Oryctolagus cuniculus: one gene and its partner. The protein of the gene in region 1 purifies or fractionates together with the protein of each later gene. This does not show direct contact. Links are inferred from orthologs where the notes say so. Each region holds a gene or a part of one and is shown on either strand. Other genes may lie near its edges. The genes, in order: POLB and LIG3.

The links.
Region 2: the proteins of POLB (region 1) and LIG3 purify together in Homo sapiens (affinity purification with mass spectrometry; 3 studies listed by BioGRID and IntAct, counting the BioPlex papers as one, with this or other methods). This does not show direct contact. The link is inferred for Oryctolagus cuniculus from reciprocal best matches to the Homo sapiens genes POLB and LIG3.

What each region holds. Positions count from the first base shown.
Region 1 is NC_091433.1:92,531,387-92,535,295, forward strand, and holds the start of POLB (DNA polymerase beta), read left to right. Parts: upstream 1-861; 5' UTR 862-1,053; coding exon 1,054-1,114; intron 1,115-1,343; coding exon 1,344-1,401; coding exon of another isoform or gene 1,402-1,444; intron 1,445-3,909.
Region 2 is NC_091448.1:39,277,682-39,281,165, forward strand, and holds part of LIG3 (DNA ligase 3), read right to left. Parts: intron 3,313-3,484; coding exon 3,238-3,312; intron 2,897-3,237; coding exon 2,750-2,896; intron 2,370-2,749; coding exon 2,174-2,369; intron 1,799-2,173; coding exon 1,677-1,798; intron 1,476-1,676; coding exon of another isoform or gene 1,413-1,475; exon of another isoform or gene 593-1,412; coding exon 359-592; 3' UTR 1-358. UniProt on the Homo sapiens protein: Isoform 3 functions as a heterodimer with DNA-repair protein XRCC1 in the nucleus and can correct defective DNA strand-break repair and sister chromatid exchange following treatment with ionizing radiation and alkylating agents.

The DNA of each region.
Region 1 (3,909 bases):
CATCACTTTGTTCCCACAGAGAGAGGGGAATTAGAAATAAAATATCCTGATGTTTGCAAGGAAAGCTTCCTAGAGTGGCGCGCTTTCTTTCCAGACCCCTGTGCCGCACAAGGCTGCCTTGCAGTGCTGAACACACTGTTGCCACAGACAGCGCTGGCATTAAGTTGCCTCACATACACACCACGTGGCCTATTTGGTGACTGCTGTCGCGCACATGGGCAGATGCTTCAAAAAGTTCGTCAAAAACTGGCACTATCTTTTCATTCCATTTCTCCATGAAGGTTTTGACGCCCCCAGTCCCCTCCTATACGTGAGTAGGGAGTCCTTGGTCCTCCATCTTCCGCCACTGTTTTATATACGTCAGACCCAAAGTTCTGCTTTTCCCCTTCGATGGAAAGAATTCCAAAGAAATGTTCGGAACAGAGGCCAGAACTGTCGCATAGCGGGTAAAGCTGCTGTTTGCGCTGCCAGCATCCCATGTGGCCGAGGGTTCGAGTCCCGACTGTTGCACTTCCGATCCAGCTGCCTGCTACTGCGCCTGCTGGGATAACCCAACTCCCTGGGCCCCTGCACCCACGTGGGGGCCCCACATGAAGCTCCTGGCTCCTGGCTCCGGCCTGGTCCTTACGGCCATTTGGGGAGATGAACCCGCGATGGAAGCTCTCTCTGCACTCTCTCTGTAACTCTGCCTCTCGGAGAAACAAATACGTCTTTAAAAGCAAAACCAAAACTCCGCCGGCCTTCCTGAAAGCACGCCGTCGGGATGGGGCTCTGAGGCGCCCGTCTTCCCACGGCCTCCCCGGGCGCCCCCAGCTCTCCTCAGCGTCTCCTCAGCCGCGGCGGAGAGGCCCCGCCCGCCGTGACGTCACACGCGCGCCGCGCGCCGCGCGCCGCGCCTCCTGTCAGAGGCAGCCATTGTTCGGCGGCTGGCGCCGGCCTCGCTGGGGCCGGGTCCCTCCTGTCCACCTTGCGAGACGCGGGCTGTCCTTCCAGCGGGGAGAGGGGCCCGGTCCCCGGTTGTGCGCACCCTGGAGCCCTTGGGTGCAGGTCACCATGAGCAAACGGAAGGCGCCGCAGGAGACCCTGAACGGCGGAATCACCGACATGCTCACGGGTTCGTACCGGGCCGGGCCCGCCGGCTTCCTTCTCTCCTGCCGCCCCGGTGCCTTCCCTCCCTCGGCTCCTGCCCGGCAGCCTGGTGGGGGCGGTGGGGGCGGCCCCTGCAGCGCGTCGTCAGGCGCGGGGCTGCTGCAGGTGCTCGCCGTCCGTCGAGGCTGCGCAGCCCCCGCGGGTCTCGATTGCTCGGCGCTCGCGTTCACCGGGGCTGCTTGTTGCCTTTGCAGAACTCGCTAACTTTGAGAAGAACGTGAACCAGGCTGTCCACAAGTACAATGCTTACAGGTGGGACGGCATGCGCTCGGGGACGCCCCTGTTTAGTGCGGCGGTACGCTGGGCCGAGGGGCTGGCGGGGCGGGGGCGGGCAAGGCGAGGGTGGTTCCTTACACAATACTTCTGGAAGAATTTGGGCAGAGCTCCGTGGGCTCCCTTCGGATAAGTTCCCAGTTCTGAGTGAAAACCAGTGGAGCCTGTTGTTGGTCCCGTCATCAGACGGGAATTACTGGAAATGCGATGTGTTTGTAAGCCGTAACGAGAGACAGGTCTCCGCTGTGAAATGGATGTGCTCAAAGAGGCACATCTTTCCATCGGGTTGGTCCGTGACTGATCCTGTTACCTTCATGGCTTCTCTCCCCGTCCCTCTCGACATGGACCCAGCCATTGTCACCTCATCCACCTGCTTCCACTCCTTAGCCTGTAAACATGTCCAACTCCCTCCGCTCTCTGCCTTTTTAAGTTCTATTTATTTGGAAGGCAGCCTACCACAGAGAGAAAGAGGTCTAGCATCTGCTGGTACACAAATGACAGGTCAGGGCCAGGCTGAAGCCAGGAGCCAGAAACTCCATCTTGGTCTCCAGTGTGGGTCGTGGGGACTCAAATACTTTGGCTGTCATCTACTGCTTCCTGGGTGTATTAACAGGAAGCTGGATCAGAAATGGAGCATCCAGGACTCTAACCAGTGATCCAGTACAGGATGTGGGCATCCCAAGCATATGTTTATCCTGCTGTGACACAATACCCATCCCATCCCTCAGCTCCTTTTATTTTTTCTTTTAAGATTTATTTTTTTGAAAGACAGAGTTACAGAGAGAGGCAGAGACAGAGAGAGAGGTCTTCCATCCACTGGTTCACTCCCCAGATGGCCACAACGGCCGGAGCTGTGTTGATCCAATGCCAGAAGTCAGGAGCTTCTTCCGGGTCTCCCACATGGGTGCAGGGGCCCAAGGACTTGGGCCATCTTCCACTGCTTTCCCAGGCCATAGCAGAGAGCTGGATCGGAAGAGGAGCAGCCGGGACTAGAGCTTGGCGCCCATATGGGATGCTGGCACTGCAGGCCGGGGCTTTAACCCGCTGTGCCACAGCTCCGGCCCTTCCCTCAGCTCTTAAAAGCAATACTGAAACAATCTTAACTTCCTTCTAGCTAGTGCCTTATCTCTTTGCTTGCGTTAACGTCAGTCTTGTTGAATAATCAGTATTCGGTCTCTGGACTTCACAGTCCTTAGTCATTTCGTATCCCGTTAGAGTGTAGTCGCCATCCTGCCGTTCTCTGGACATGCTCTCACCAACACCTTGTTGGGCTCTCAGCGGCATTCCCCGCTGGCTCGTTCATGAAAGTCTTTTCCGTGGCTTCCAGGAGGACAGTCTCTTCATCTCTTCTCTCTCAGCCTTGATTGCTGATAGTTCCCAGAGATCTGCCCCTGAGCCCTCTTTCTTCACTCTCACGCTTTCCCTGGCAATCCTTCTGTTGTTGGCTTTGAATACAACTTACATCAGTGACTCCACGTATGTGTCTCATTGGGCTTTTCTCCAGGATTTTAGTCCCATAGTCCTTTTATCTCAGCTCTCCCCTTCCTATTCCTATCATAATTCAAAACTGATCATGCTCATTGCTTTCCTTACTACTTCCTGTGACGTCCGATGTGATGTAACTGTGCTGTCGTCCACACACTTGATGATACAGAAATCAGAGGTATTCAGCCCTGTATTCTGGGTGGGTCACAGCAGTCTTCAGAGTGGAGGTGTTTAGCCTTGAAGGAGTTCATCAGGGGACAAGTGAGAGGAAGAACAATTTAGGCAAAGGAAGCAAAGTGTGCCAAGGCATATGCTGATCACATCAGTAATTCAGTTTGCTTATGGGGTGTGGTCTGAGTGGGAGGTAACTCTGTAAAACAGGTGATGCCCCACTGCCCCATTTTGCAAATATGTAGACATGTTCTTTTGTCCTTGATACAATCCAAATACGTCATAGCACACAAAAGGCCTTTCATGTTCTCGTTCTTACTCCCTTTCAGGCTTTTCCTCACAATGCCAGGTACCTGGCACTACTTGCCTCTTCTGAAGTAATCCCCTCCATACACTGCCCTTGGCCGACGACTCCTTAACCTTTAAATATGTCCTTTCCACTGTCGTCATCGTTATATGTTCATAAAGAAGTTGAATTCCAAACCTAAAGGTCTGTGTGTGCTAGAACAGAAGGAAAATGCAAAGTTCCAAAGACTGTCCCAATATTTATGCTCTTGACTTACCTTTCTGTCAACATTGACACAAAACCGTATTTCCCGTTGAAATTATGGACAGGATGCCGTCAGTGAGCTCCTGAGGTATACTCCATCACCAGATTGCTGAGTTGGATAGTTGGATATGTGTGGAGGTGGGCAAAATAACAGGTCACTGCTTTTATGCTGAACTGAAACGGGAGCAAATTTTTTTTTTTTTTTTTTTTACAGAACTGGTATAAGGACATCAGTGAATACAGTTTAAAACCATGAATTCTCAAGTAATCATCCATGAGGA
Region 2 (3,484 bases), on another chromosome or scaffold:
GAAGCGCTTCTGAGGGCAGTCTCTGCAGCGTGACATAGAGGAGCCGGCACGGAGGAGACTCCGCAGCCCAGCCTTCGCTCCTTAACTGCTAGGGGGTGGGAAAGGACAAAGATACTAAAGGTATTTGATTTATAAAAAACACCAAACTTCTTTTTAAAGAAAACAAAAAGATGACAAAGCCAGCACCCAGATCTGAAAGATCTATTTAAGCCAGCAAGAGAAACTGACTGCACTCGGGGTACCCAAGTGCAGAAGAGACCATGAATATAGTCAGTGGGTTTGGAAGACGCACTGCTTGCAGGAGAAAGCCCATACCCCCACCCCCCTCCCGCGGCTCCTCTGTCTACTGCCTCCAGTCCTAGCAGGGAGCTACCAGCCTCCGTTTCCGGATGCATGCCCAAATCCACTCTGGGGAGACCAGCTGGGCCTCAGAATTCTTGTCCCTGCTACCCAGCACGTGTGTGGCTGAGGCCATGTCAAATTCCTGTACCAGGTCTCCGTTGAATGCCACAAAATAGCGTCTGAGGCGGCTGAAGTCTGGTGTGGAGGGTGGCAAGTAGAGCCGCACCCCAGTGAAGATGTCCAGCAGCACCTGCAAACGCACAGGGGTCAGGGTGGGGTTGAGCCTGCACTGGGCGCAGATGGGGCTTTACCCACCGAGTACAGGACAGCAAATGCAAGTTGGACACGGAGGGAGCTGAGTTTAGGACACTGGCAGAGTTTCCAAGAGAAAAGGCAAGGCATCACTTGGTGCCATCCTTCAGTCATTCCACGTGACATGCCATTCATCCCTGCCTAGAGGTAAAAGATGGGACCACGTCTCCAGGAGCCATCCAGTGGCTCTCGGACTCAGTGCCCACAGATGCCGTGATAGCTCCCAAAGATCAAGCAAGTTCCTCTGCACGACTACCCGGGCTGTGAGGGTCAGGACTCCTGTTTGTTACTGTGCCTGGGCTCCAGGGTTCTGGGCAGGGGAAGGATGGGAAAGGTTTCCCCCAGTCTGGGTTCAGGACCCAAGTGCTCGGAGTGTGTGCTTCGTTTGGGTGGAGGCAGGGCAGTGGGGAGCACAAATCACACCGTGGAGTGATCGCAGGTTTACTTCTCTATCTACTCTTTGGGCCACCAGCTCCCCAGGCTTGAGCCGGCACTGAACCTAGTTGTGGCCTCAGTGGGTGCTCAACTGATGTTGCCAAACCAAAGACTGACAACTGCGCACGGAGAAAGGCTCCTCAGCTGGAGGAGTCACCAAGCCAGTGCCTTCTCCCGGGCTCCGTGATGGCTGCACCTGCTCCCGTCCTCGCCACAAACTCACACCACTACACTCCCATGCCCAGACTGGGCTTGCTCCCTTTTATTGGACCTTGGGACCAGCAGCTGTGGGCCTTTGCAGCCTCTCCTGGCTAGGCCGGGCTCTATCTCCTGCCTGCTGGCACAGCTCTCCTTCCTCTCTGCTGTCTGGCTGGCCGCCTCTGCCTCTGCAAGGCAACAAGAGGGTACAGGGTGCAGCAGCAGCAGCACTGCTGGCCCTGCCCATTCCCGAGAAGCAGTTGTAGGAGGGCAAGGGGTTTAGCCAGTGTTTTTCAAACACCCTTGCTCAGTTTCAGAGTTCACGTCCAGGCTGGGAACACTACCCTGGACCCAGCTGGCCCGCCTGGGGTTGCTATGTCTGTTCTTACCTTTGCTTGGCACGGGGGCTCATCAGTAGCTTTCCGCTTCTCCCCTACTTTCACCGGGGAAGACTTCCTGGCTAGCTTCTCCTCCAGTTTCACAGGGGAATGCTTTGTGCTCAGCTTGTTGCCTGCAGGACAGAGTCTGGGATAAGAACTACGAGGATAGGGACTGTTGATAATGGTCTCTGGGACAGCAAAGGGAAGGGCCAGACCCTTCTGCTGCTAGGAATGTAGGAGAGGGGGAGAGAATATCAGCTAAGCCCTTGAGCTTCAAAGGGGCTTAGCCCCTGCTCAGATTGGTTCCCCCAGGAAGGCATCTTTCAAATTTCCCAAGCAGATGGAGTGCCCAGCAGGACCGCTTCTGGCCCACGGCTGGACACAACAGCAGGAATGCAGTCAAGGTCAGCTTTATGGACACAGAGAATCACATGACCTCAAAGCTGGACCCTGAGGCCAGGCCCGGGCCCTTCAGTCTCCGCCTCACAGCACCCTCTCCTGCTTACCGCCTTTGCCGTTGGCATTATTCTGCTTCCCTTCAGCCTTCCTGGCACTCGCAGAGGGCTTGCTGGGGGCTTTGCGGGACACAGCAGGTCCGGAGGCACCCTCATTCTCACCACTGCTGCCCCCTGTAGAGGAGCTCCCCTCATCTCCAGCCACTACGGTGAAGTCTGCTTTCTCCTTGGACAGCTGATACAGTTCCTGAGGAGTGCAGGAGAATGACAAGGGTTTCACTCCCTCCCCAGACACAGGCCTCAAGTGGTGGGTGTGGTGGCGTAGGCACTGGTGGCTGGGAAGAGGAGCTGGCTTCCCTGGTTCTTAGTGTGGCCCTGTAACTGAGTGCTCAGGATGCCCACCACTGGTATCTGTGCACCAGTTCCTAATCAACACAGCAGGGACCCTGTGGAGAATGCCAGGCTGGTCACTACTGGGAGCTGTTCCTGGCCTGGTGCCAGCTGGGTGTCCCTGTCTTCCCACTGTCTCCCTGAAAAGGGGGAAGGAGATGAGAGGGTGGGTGAACAGGGCAGATGCCCACGATGGGACAGTGGGGTGGGGACACCCACGGGGCCCAGTGCTGGCACCTTGAGTTGTGGGAGGTTAGTGGCAGATTTCCAGTCCTTATCGTCCCGGATTCGTGTGCAGCGAGGGAATCGGATGGAGATCCCGTCAGCTGTGTGAGCTTCAGACTTGGAGAATTCAGCCCCTGTGATCTCCCACACAGCAGCTTTCTGTCAGGAGCAAGGCAGACAGGTGGACACTGGTCAGGAGGAAACGTCTCCCATCCAGCTAGAAGCAATACAGAACAGTTAAAACCCACCACGTCCGGCTAAGAGCTGGCAGACTGGGCTTTTAGGAAGCCTTGTCTTCTCGTGAGCCAAGTGCTTCTAGAACAGAGTGGTGGGTACTGGTATTCTTCCTCCCTGTTGAAGATGACTCCTCAGGACCCCACCCTGCCGGGTACTGGCTAAACTCTCTAGACCCCAGCCTAGGTGGACTTGCATTATGGCTGAGATGGCTCCTCTGTGGCACCAGAGCACTTGCCATTTGATTTTTGCGGGCAGGACGATACCTTTGGGTCTGGAACAATGAAGTCAGGATAGTAGATCTTGTTGATTTTCAGCCAGCTGGGTATTTTGCTGGGATCCTGGAGGAGAAAAGATGTTATTCTGGGCTGTCAAGCTTCAAGCCTCTCTAGGTAATGGGATTATGAGAAGACTGGTCCTCCCTGTCCCGAGGTATGTGGCCCAGAGGGCCCACAGGCCAATTTCCACAAGCATCGCACTCTGGTTTTAGGCCTAACCTGCCCCCAAGGCCAA